Linked DNA regions of Saccharomyces cerevisiae S288C. Changing the gene in region 2 together with the main gene of any one other region gives a genetic interaction. Each region holds a gene or a part of one and is shown on either strand. Other genes may lie near its edges.

Region 1 (7,303 bases), on a different chromosome or scaffold from region 2:
GTTTTATACGCTTCTCTTTTATAGGAATATAAGATCAGCTTTGATTATTAATTAATACTGTCATTTAATTGCCAGTTATCATCAAACGGGATATTTTCATCGGTTCATTAATGTATGGTAGCTGTTGCGAGCGTATAATTATACTGGCGTTTGAAGATTACATATATGATGAGAAACAAAAATCAAATTTAGTAACAACTGTTAACGATGCAATAATGAGTTAAAGCAATTAACAGGAGGGGGAAGCAATTATGTTATTCGTGGCATTGTTGATAATCTTTTGTGGATTTCCAAATCCAGGAGACGAGCTTCTTATATTGTATGTTACTAATGGTATTTTCTTTTTCAAAAAGTAATTCAAACGATCATATCAAATTTCGCATATTTCTTATACTTAAAGTAGGGCCGATTTACGGCTTATTTTCTGTTCCATTAAATGCCAAGCTCGTAAGTGCCAACGAGTGAAGTTACTTAAGCCTACAAACTAGAAGCTTAGCCACCAATTATCAACATATACATATGTGTATCGCAATAATGCTTCAAAATTCACCAAGTTCTTCAAAGAGCGTTTAAACCAAATAAAAATCCTAACTCCCGACGCCCTAAACTATTCACTTCCTTTATCTTGCCTGGGTCCATGGCAGAATCGACCATTTCCTTCTTTCTCTTCTGTAATTCAGAAATACGATCCTCAACAGAGTCCTTTATAAACAATTTATGCACCTGGACTTTTTTTGTTTGACTAATTCTATAGCAACGGTCTTGAGCTTGTTCTTCGACGTAAGGATTCCAAAATGGATCAACTATAACTACATGGTTCGCACATGTCAATGTTAGTCCTGAGTTACCGGCTTTCATGGAAATCAGAAGTATCCTTTTCTCAGGGTCACGATAAAATTCGTTGATAACATCTGATCTTCTCTGAGCGTTCATTGATCCAATATATTTCAAGTAGGGAAAATTCAGTTTATTTTTGAGAAAATGTTCGAGAATCTCAAAAAATGTTGTAAACTGGGAAAAAATAATAATTTTTTCGGTTGCTGATTCATCAAAAACTCTTTGAATAACCTGTATACATTGCTCTATCTTCGTAGATGGTTCTAAACTCTCAAAATTTGGCACATATACATTTTTTTGCTGTATTTTTTGTTTCTCCATTTCACTTAAATACTCTGCATGCAAATCTTCCTCAGTAAATCCCTGGTTTATTACCTGGTCGTATAACTTGTGCGAAACAATATCTTTCTCGTTTGTCAAACGTTGACAATCTTTGCATGGGATAGCAAATGCCCCACCTTTGGTTTTCTTGGCCTGAGGTAGCATGGATGACTCTTCGATGAAGGGCTCGATACAAGTGTCGCAAATCAAATGACCACAACCTGTCAGAACGGACATCGCTTCTGGTTCTAATTGTTCCATGCACCAGAAACATGTCATAGAATTCATTGAAGTAATAACCTGAGCCTGCGCTTCTCCGCTCATGTGAGTGATTTTATAGTAGAGCCTGAGCCAGTCATCTTCAAAGCTTTTGCCGTTAGCTACCTTTGTACCTTCCGCTTTTTTTTCTCCCATCACAACTAATTCTGAATGACAACAAGCCTGCCTTAAGCGAAGTAGTAATGTGAGAACGCTAGAGTAGCTCCCCCTCGTAGAATTGTTCAACAATTTCTTAGCGAGTGCTTGATTTTTTGATTCCAAAGCTGTGTAAAATTTTAATTCCTCTCCCTTCAGGCGTGATTCATCTACTTCCACAATTTTAGGAGGGAGCTCCAGTAAAGGTTTGCCGTCGATCTTATCAGCCTTAGACCGACGAAGCATAATGGCATTTAGAAGGACTCTAACCTTTCTTAATGCGTTTTTTCTATCCTCGTTATCATATTGATATTGCTTATTTCTCTGAAAAAACCTTCCAATGTCTAATTTAAACCGTTGCTCCTTGTGGTAGGGTGGAATTCTTAGAAATCTTATCAAGGAATAAAGCTCATCCATACTATTTTGAATCGGCGTACCAGACAAGACCCACCTATACATTCCATTTATAGTACAGCACGCTTTAGAAGCCCTTGTATTTTTGTTCTTGATGTTTTGGCCTTCGTCCAGTAAAATTCTGTAAAACGTTGAATCATTGCAGAAAAATGGAGAGTAGTATTCATTTGAGGTTTTCAACCTATTAAGAGCTTGTATATGAGGCACAGCTGGTAGCTGATTTTGTTCACCATCCAGTTTTTTCGGCCAATGTTTCTTAAATTCGTTTGCTAGAGTTTGATAAGATACCAAAACAGCATCATATCTTGCCAAATCCCTCCAGTGCTTAACTTTTCCGTTACCTGATCCTCCAAAAATAAATGTAGTAAATTTTGCGCGTTTTTTTACTTTCGTTTCTAATTCACCTTTCCAAACTCTCAAGACTGAGACTGGTGCGACGATCAAATTGGTTTTACATTTGGATTCCTCTGAGCGATTTGCTAACATCAATGCAATAGCTTGAATCGTTTTACCCAGGCCCATATCGTCAGCAAGCAGACCCCCTTTTTTTGCGGAGTTTTCAACTTGTAACAACCAATGCAGACCCAGCCTCTGGTGTTTTAATAAGTTTACGGTCATATCCTCGGGAGTAAGTGCTTCGCCGTCTATAATGGATTCAGATTGTTTGACATTCTCTAAAAGAGCCCTAATCTGTTCTTGATCTTCTGCTGCATGCATATTAGAGATGTGAAATTCATCTTGCATCGATAGATCATTGGCTGTAGAACTAGTATCTTCGGTATTTTCCACGATGTTCCAGTTTGAAGGAGGTCGTTGATCTGCGTTTACCGGAAATAAATAGCTTTGCTGCAGTAATTCTTCACTTGTTATTGGAATCTTATATCTTCTCAAATTTTCATATAGTCTGTCCATCTTAAGTCCTTGTTGTCTTAGCCCAACAACAGCTTTTCCGACGCCTTCCCTTTTTAAAGGAGTAGGTGGAAATCCGGTGTCAATATCTTTACGAAATTCTTCAATTATATTCAAAAATCGAGTAATCTTTCGTTTAGCATCCTCTGATCTAGTAGACTTTGATATGAGATCGCGTGCAACTTCGATGCTTTTAAAATATTGGGCTCTTCTGTCAGGATTGACAATGGCTGGATTAGAAAACTTGATGCCGTAATCTTGTAATGTTTCAAAAACAATGGGCATCTTTACACCGTTGGTGAACAATATTTGGGCCGATTCATGTGCAACGTGTCTTCTGTTTATATCTATTAAGGATCTTCCGTCTTCAAAAAAGTTTTTATAAGAGACCAAGTTGTCCAAATGTCTATAAAGAATTCTCTTCGTCATTTCTGTCCTGGATGTGTTCTTGGCTAATAAATCTTTTGCAGTATCAATGGACTTAATAAATAAATCTCTTTTGGCGAGAGGTTGCCGTACTATTGGCAATACACTATTGATATCAGTTGTGCGTTGGTCCCCCAGTTTCAAGTCATTCAGTTTCTGCTGGATCTCCCCTGTTAACTGCTTGTAGGTACTGAAGCTTAGGGTTCCTTCTTTTAACATTTGGTCTAGCTTTTCTTTCTCAGCCAGGCATTCGTTTCTTTTATTTACGGTCGCAGAAGCTTTACTATCCCTGGCTGACCGCTCAAGGGCAGCCAAAGATTTCTGCAGGTTTATATTTTTCGAATGCACAAAGGACTTCCATTGTTCGTTATAATTATACATTTTCAAATTGATTGAATCTAGCTTCGATTTTGTCAACTGTCTTTTTTCCTTCAGTTTGTTTAATTGGTTCTCAGCTTCATCAACTAATATCTGCTGAGTTGAGCTGATAGTTCTTCCCCCTCTAGCCATCGATGTCAACAATAACTGCCAATGTTTTTCAGCATCAGAGACCTCCTTTTCTCTTCTACTTAGTTTCCTTCTTAAAATTTCAGAGTTTGTCTTGCAGCAACTGAGAGCATTACGTAGTTCAGACTCTCTAGAATTCAAATCCTTCAATAATTTTTGATGATTTTTTTTTAGAGTATCAAGTGAACTGTTACATTCGTGTTGAGAGGATTGAGTAGCTTGTTCTGTCATGATAGTTCCTTGAAGAACTGACGAACTCGAGGATTGTGCGTCTGTTTCTGATGTAGGAATTGAATTGCTGCCACTTGCTTCTTTTATTACTGAGTTATTCAAGTCAATATTGGGTAGGTCAAGTAAAGATATGACTTCTGGTACACTGCTCCTAAGCGCATCAGCTGTATTTGGTTCAGAAACTTTCAAAGGACTTTCTATATCATTGATACCGGCACCAGATTCGTCCTCATCTGAAAGAATAATAATCGAGCTATTTTTCTGTTCGGAATCATGTGAATTATGTGTTGTGTGGTCCATATTTTTTGAGGGCAATATCGGTCTTTTAAGTATCTTGTTATCTGCAAAATCTCCGCTATGCTTCCTTTTAATCTTACGACCAAAATCGCTAATATCGACAGGTTGTTCACTAAAGTGCTTGAATAGTTCACTTTGTTCTTGCTCAAGTAAGGCAACATTATTTTGAAGTCCTGGAAGACGAACGGTCGTCTTCCCCTCTACTTTGGCCGTCTCGTTTTTAAGGGAACTCTCAACAGAGCTTAGATTGGACGGTAATGCTGGCGTTCGCTTTTCATTTACGATGTTAGGTATAGTGTTTTTGGAGTTATTTTGAGTTTCAGAATCCTGGAAAGCACTAGATTCAATAGGTAAATCACGATAACTTGTTGTTGTGACTCCTTTTATTTGGTCTTTGTTTTCGCTCTTCAAACTGTTATCTTTTGTTTCTGGGTCGCTGAACTGTTGCTGTGACGGTTTGTTATTCAAGTTTAACTTCTCCTCTTGAAAATCCAAATTGCTGTCCTGGCAAGTATTAGGCTCGAAATCATCTTCAACGCCATCGTAGTCTTTGGAGACGTATGAGGAAGAAATGCCACAGATATTTTCCTTCACTTGCTCATCCTGATTTATTCTTTTACCTTCCTCTTTTTGTTTAAAACTATCGGATAACGGCACATCATCGTTTTCATAAAAAAGTTTTATCATCTCTGCGCTTGGGCTGCTCTCTTGTGTTTTCTTCTCATCGTTGGAAGATCCCATCGTTTCTTCCTTCAAGACTTGCTGCTGTTTTACTTCGTTGGAAGATTTTTCATTGTTGAAGGTACTGTCTGTGATTGTCTTGCTCTTTGAAAGAATAGTATCGAAGGTTTCATTATTTGATATGTTCGTCTTGAAAACATGGAATGCTTGACGTGCTGCATCGTCATTAGATTGGGCGACTTCCAAGCCTGCCATTCTTAATTTCCCATTTTCTTTCCTAATGTCTATCTTATCCACACTTGTTGAAGACGAAAAAGAATGGAATATGTCTTCATTATCTGAATCGGCTAGTGTAAGGTCGATGGTGGGTACTGCTGCCATTTGACAGATGTTTAACCTAAAGATATAGTCCAGCGTCTCCTTTCAAGCACTCAAAAGATAGATGTAAAAATCGGTATAGACGCCCTGTCCTGTTCTTTCATAAAACTGCGGAGAGGTTTGTATTTATTTATTGTTTTTCTTCCTCTCATATTCGTTACATAGTCTAAGTAAACTGTCCGGTAATATCGAGAGTGACCCGTGTCTCGTGCTTCTCTTCCGCCTCACGTAATATCAACAGGTAATCATCATGAGCTCCCCATTCATAGTTCAGATAAAAAGTGAAGTAGCGGTTGATGGAAGCACTTTTATTTGCATAATTATAAGATATAAAGTATTTTTTATTTGTATACCTCATCATGTTATATAAAGAGTTTTAGATGGCAATTTTTTCTCCAATAATAATCATCACATTCCCAAGACCTTAAATATATGCCACAAAATTTCAATGACATTGGTTAGGATATTTCCTATCGTTGATAGGTTGCGGAAAAATGTTGAGTTGAATCAATTTTTCAACATCCCATTCGATACTATTCTCTGTCTTGTAACACCACATTATCCATCCACCAGTCATTTCAAAAGCATCTAATTGAGCCTCGATAAACTTTCTAGTGTTCTGTTTTCTCTCTTCGGGCCACAAGGCAATATTCTCGTTGTTTGCACACGTATTTATGTAATGAGATTTTTCATTGTCTTTGGTCCAACTTCCATCATATCTGGCACCTAGACCAACCCCATTTAACCACTTTGTACAATCTGTTAAGGCCGCTGAAAATTCGCCTGCTACGGACCAATGCTTCTCGCTTACGGCATCTTTCCCCCATTGGCAGGCGATTTTGATACGTTCATTCATTTTTCTTGTTAATTCCACCTGCGAGAACACCTGATAATGATGATGGTCAATTATGACGCCATATTCGTTCTTTTCATCATTCAAAAACCCATCCCAATAATGGTAAGGTTGAAAAGCATCATGTATTACAATGATCTGGTTGCTATTAATTTTATTTCTCAAATAGTCATAAGCCGGCTTCAAAAGCAAATTTTTCAATCTTTCCATGTCAATAACTGGACCTAACGGTTCATTGAGCAATTCGATTCCAATAACGGTGTCCAGGTATACGTCTGTTGAGTATTTGCTTAAAATATACGTTAAAGCTTTCATGGTGGCGCTTAAATTTTCATCTTCCAGAAACTTATATGAATCCCTCAACCCTGAGTTATCAAATCCGTTTTGTGAACCAGCGGCTCCATGAAGATCAATCCATACTTTCAAACCATATTTCCTAGCCCAATCGATAGCCCGGTCTAGAAAATATTCCTGCTCGGCGGTAACATAGGGATCATGACTCAACGTTGTAAAGGCCCAATACCCAATAGGAATTCTAACCAAATTGAAGCCTTGAGAAGCAATTTTCGCGAAGTCTTCCTCTTTATAGAACGTCGACCAATGACTATAAAGGCGTTCCTTTGCCTTTTCATAGCCTAATTTTTCACAAAAATGGTATTCATCAACAGGAATACCGTCATCGTTGTACGGATTAGTACGGAAAGTCTCGAATAAAGAAGGTGTAATATACGGCTCCAATACTAGCCACCCACCCAAATTGACTCCATGAATTTTTTCATTGATGGCTTGATTGTTGATGGCAGAGTATATACTATCCTTTTCTTTATAAATAAACTGTATAGAGTCCCTATTTTTTGTGGAAACAGGATTACAGTTTACTAATTTGGTAAAAAGTAGTGTTAGTGTAGTCAGCCCTCTGAACGAAACCATTTACTTCTAAAGTTTATAAAGATTTTATGCGGAGCACCTCAGTCTTTCTTTCGAATCTTTGGATGGTCTGTTCGCAATTGAACAATTAAAAGAGAAGGGTAAAAA
Region 2 (3,218 bases):
GTAAGTATAAACGTATTTGAAGTATATCTAAAGCTTGTGTTGGATAATGTTGAAACGCAGGAGACTATCGATTCATTAATTAGTGGTATGAAGATATTTTATGATCAGTATAAGCACTGTCGTGAAGTGGCCGCATGTTGTAATGTTATGTCCCAAGAGATTGTATCAAAAATATTGGAGAAAAACAATCCTTCAATAGGCGATTCGAAGGCCAAATTGCTTGAGCTCCCCCTAGGGCAGCCAGAAAAGGCATACTTGAGGGGTGAGTTTGCCCAGGATTTAATGAAGTGTACATATAAGATATAAGTTTTTTTATTTTTATTTCTAAAAAAAAGAAAAATAGTAAAACATGGACTGAAGCTAACGCTTTTGGAGTAATTAGTAGCATTATATATGGTAAAAGTGTTCTTCAGTAGGTCTAAGATTTAAAGGTAATGATATTTATATTATAAAACGATTTGACCTCTAATGCACTTCCTTTTATTCTTTTTGATAAAATATACTATACATCCCCCACAGCATCTCGCAGAGCCTCCACAACGTTAAGTACAGCACTCGAAGCTGGGCTGTCAGGATAGTTATCCAGGAAACTTTCACCCATGTCACAACTCTTGCCAATCCTCGGATCTAACGGAACAGACCCCAAAAATTTGATGCCCAATTCCTTACAAAGTGCTTCACCTCCACCTGTGGTAGCCTTGAATATTTGGGACTCTCCTTTGCAATTTGGACATACAAATCCGCTCATATTTTCCACTAGTCCAAGAATATTGATACCAGCCTTCTTACAGAAATCTATCTCTTTCCGTACATCTAATAAAGCTACTTCCTGAGGTGTGGTGACCACAAGGGCACCATCTATGCCAGATTCTCTCATATACTTGTTTATTGAAATGTGCTCATCAGATGTTCCGGGCGGTGTGTCGATTACCAAGTAATCGAGTTTATCCCAATCAACATCCTTTAAAAATTTTTTTATCAATAAATTCTTTTTTGAACCCCTCCATATAATGGCGGAATCGTCTTCTGGAAGCATATATTGAATAGACATGGTGGCTAAATTATCAGTCACATAGACAGGTGTCCAACCGGAGTTCGATTCATGGACGGTTTCTTTAATGCAGCCTAACATATGTGGCAAAGAAGGTCCACATATATCTAAATCCATGGCACCTACTTGTAAATCTTCGTCAGCTGAAAGTGCCCAACTTAGCATTGCGGCAAATGTCGACTTGCCTACGCCACCTTTGCCTGATAAAACCAATATTTTATGTTCTATTCCTGACAAGTTATCTGTGATCAATGGAATATCTGGATCAGGGCCTTTCGGAAGACTTTCACATATTTCTTTATTGGCGCAGCCACCACAAGCATCGGACTTACCTGCCATGTCTGATTCTGGACCAGGACAGTGTTCTGGTTCCGGCTGATTAAGTTCATACTCTGCTGGTAGCACTTCGTCGTTTACATGTGGTAGTATCTCAGTCATTCTTGGATATCACTTATGTATACTGTTGTTCTCAAAAACAGAAAGACTTCACGTTTAGCCTAGCCTACGAGTTGTTGGACAAACATGTTATTTATTATTATATACAAAATATTTCTACGCATTACTAATTACACCATTAATGAATCCGAAAAAGTACCCGGAAGCGTATTTTGAAAAGCCATATTAAAGAATAATAAGATGAACGGCAGTTTTCGACGTGTCAATGCATAGAACTGAGAGAATTGTGCATTGGATGACTTATTTATGTAGGGTGCTATGTCCCAGCTGACGGAGTTCATTAGCTGTATCCCTGTGGTTAATGAAGAACAAAATGAAGAAGATGAGCGTGGCCTCTGTAAGATTCAGATTGAAGATGGCGCTATGTTGGAAACATTAGATGAGAACAGTCTTTCAGGGCTTAGAATAGAGAAAATGTTGGTAAGTGAAGGTACAGGAATTTTTTCCAAAAGCAGTTTTGGAATCAATGATTTGCGAATCTTTACGGGAGAAAATATCGATGAAGAGTCTAAGAAATATGTGTGGTATGAACTACTCAAAATGTTAACTGGTCACAAAGTGTACATTGCATCGTTAGACGAAAAAGTCGTATTCACAAAATGGACGTGCAGAATGCAAGATGATGAGGTATGGAAAGTAGTTATGGAGTTGGAGTCATCGGCGATCATAAGAAAAATCGCTGAACTTACCTTGCATCCAGTCAAAAAGGGAGAGATTGATTTATTTGAAATGGCAGATAAACTCTATAAAGATATCTGTTGTGTTAACGATTCTTACCGGAATATAAAGGAGAGCGATTCTAGCAATAGAAATCGAGTTGAACAGCTGGCTCGGGAAAGGGAGCTATTGGATAAGCTTTTAGAAACACGTGATGAAAGAACCAGAGCAATGATGGTAACCTTGTTGAATGAGAAGAAGAAGAAAATAAGAGAGCTTCATGAGATTCTGCGACAAAATAATATCAAATTGTCTGACGATGATGTTTTAGATTCTGCGCTTATTAATACGGAAGTGCAAAAGCCAATTTCTGAGTTAAACTCTCCAGGAAAAAGAATGAAACGAAGAAAGACGGTAGTAGAGCCTCAAAATTTACAAAAGAAGTTGAAAGACACAAGTCGGAGGAGAGCTAATAGAAAAATATCTAATCAATCCGTGATCAAAATGGAAGACGACGATTTTGATGACTTTCAATTTTTCGGACTTTCTAAAAGGCCAATTATTACTGCTAAAGATAAACTCAGTGAAAAGTACGATGATATTACCTCTTTTGGAGATGACACACAATCAATAAGTTTTGAATCTGATAGTAGCAGTGATGTTCAAAAACATTTAGTGTCTTTAGAAGACAATGGTATTCAAATATCAGCAGGAAGATCGGATGAAGATTACGGAGACATTTCTGGTTCTGAATCTGAGACTGATGCAAGTGCAGGGGAAAAGAAGAGCTCCAACCATAGTGAACAATCCGGTAATGATAGGGAACCTTGCTTGCAGACAGAATCGGAAACGGATATAGAAACATAGCCTATTTATGAATGAATGTAATATATGGCAAAGAGTATTATAGTATCGCATCATTTGAGAGAATACTTTATTTAAATGGCAAAAAATAGTTCTATGTGAGTGATCGAAAACTCAACTACTCAGATTGAAAAGAAAATAAATAAAACTAGGTGTTGTATGAACGTGAAAGAAATCGAGAGGGTTTAGA

What was found. Genes that interact genetically often act in the same process or in processes that back each other up.
Region 1: mutations in NBP35 (region 2) and ULS1 together harm fitness more than expected from each alone (negative genetic interaction), as found in Saccharomyces cerevisiae (one large-scale study listed by BioGRID).

Annotation. Positions count from the first base shown.
Region 1 is NC_001147.6:690,590-697,892, reverse strand, and holds ULS1 (translocase ULS1), read right to left. Parts: upstream 5,419-7,303; coding exon 559-5,418; downstream 1-558. Other genes in the region: SPR1 (glucan 1,3-beta-glucosidase), read right to left, coding at 5,861-7,198. UniProt on the Saccharomyces cerevisiae protein: ATP-dependent helicase involved mating type switching and in silencing interference through its interaction with the silencing regulator SIR4. Cooperates with UBC4 and UBC5 to mediate ubiquitination of SUMO conjugates.
Region 2 is NC_001139.9:341,554-344,771, forward strand, and holds NBP35 (Fe-S cluster-binding ATPase), read right to left. Parts: upstream 1,490-3,218; coding exon 503-1,489; downstream 1-502. Other genes in the region: nucleocytoplasmic transporter NUP145, read left to right, coding at 1-306; LIF1 (Lif1p), read left to right, coding at 1,766-3,031. UniProt on the Saccharomyces cerevisiae protein: Component of the cytosolic iron-sulfur (Fe/S) protein assembly (CIA) machinery. Required for maturation of extramitochondrial Fe-S proteins.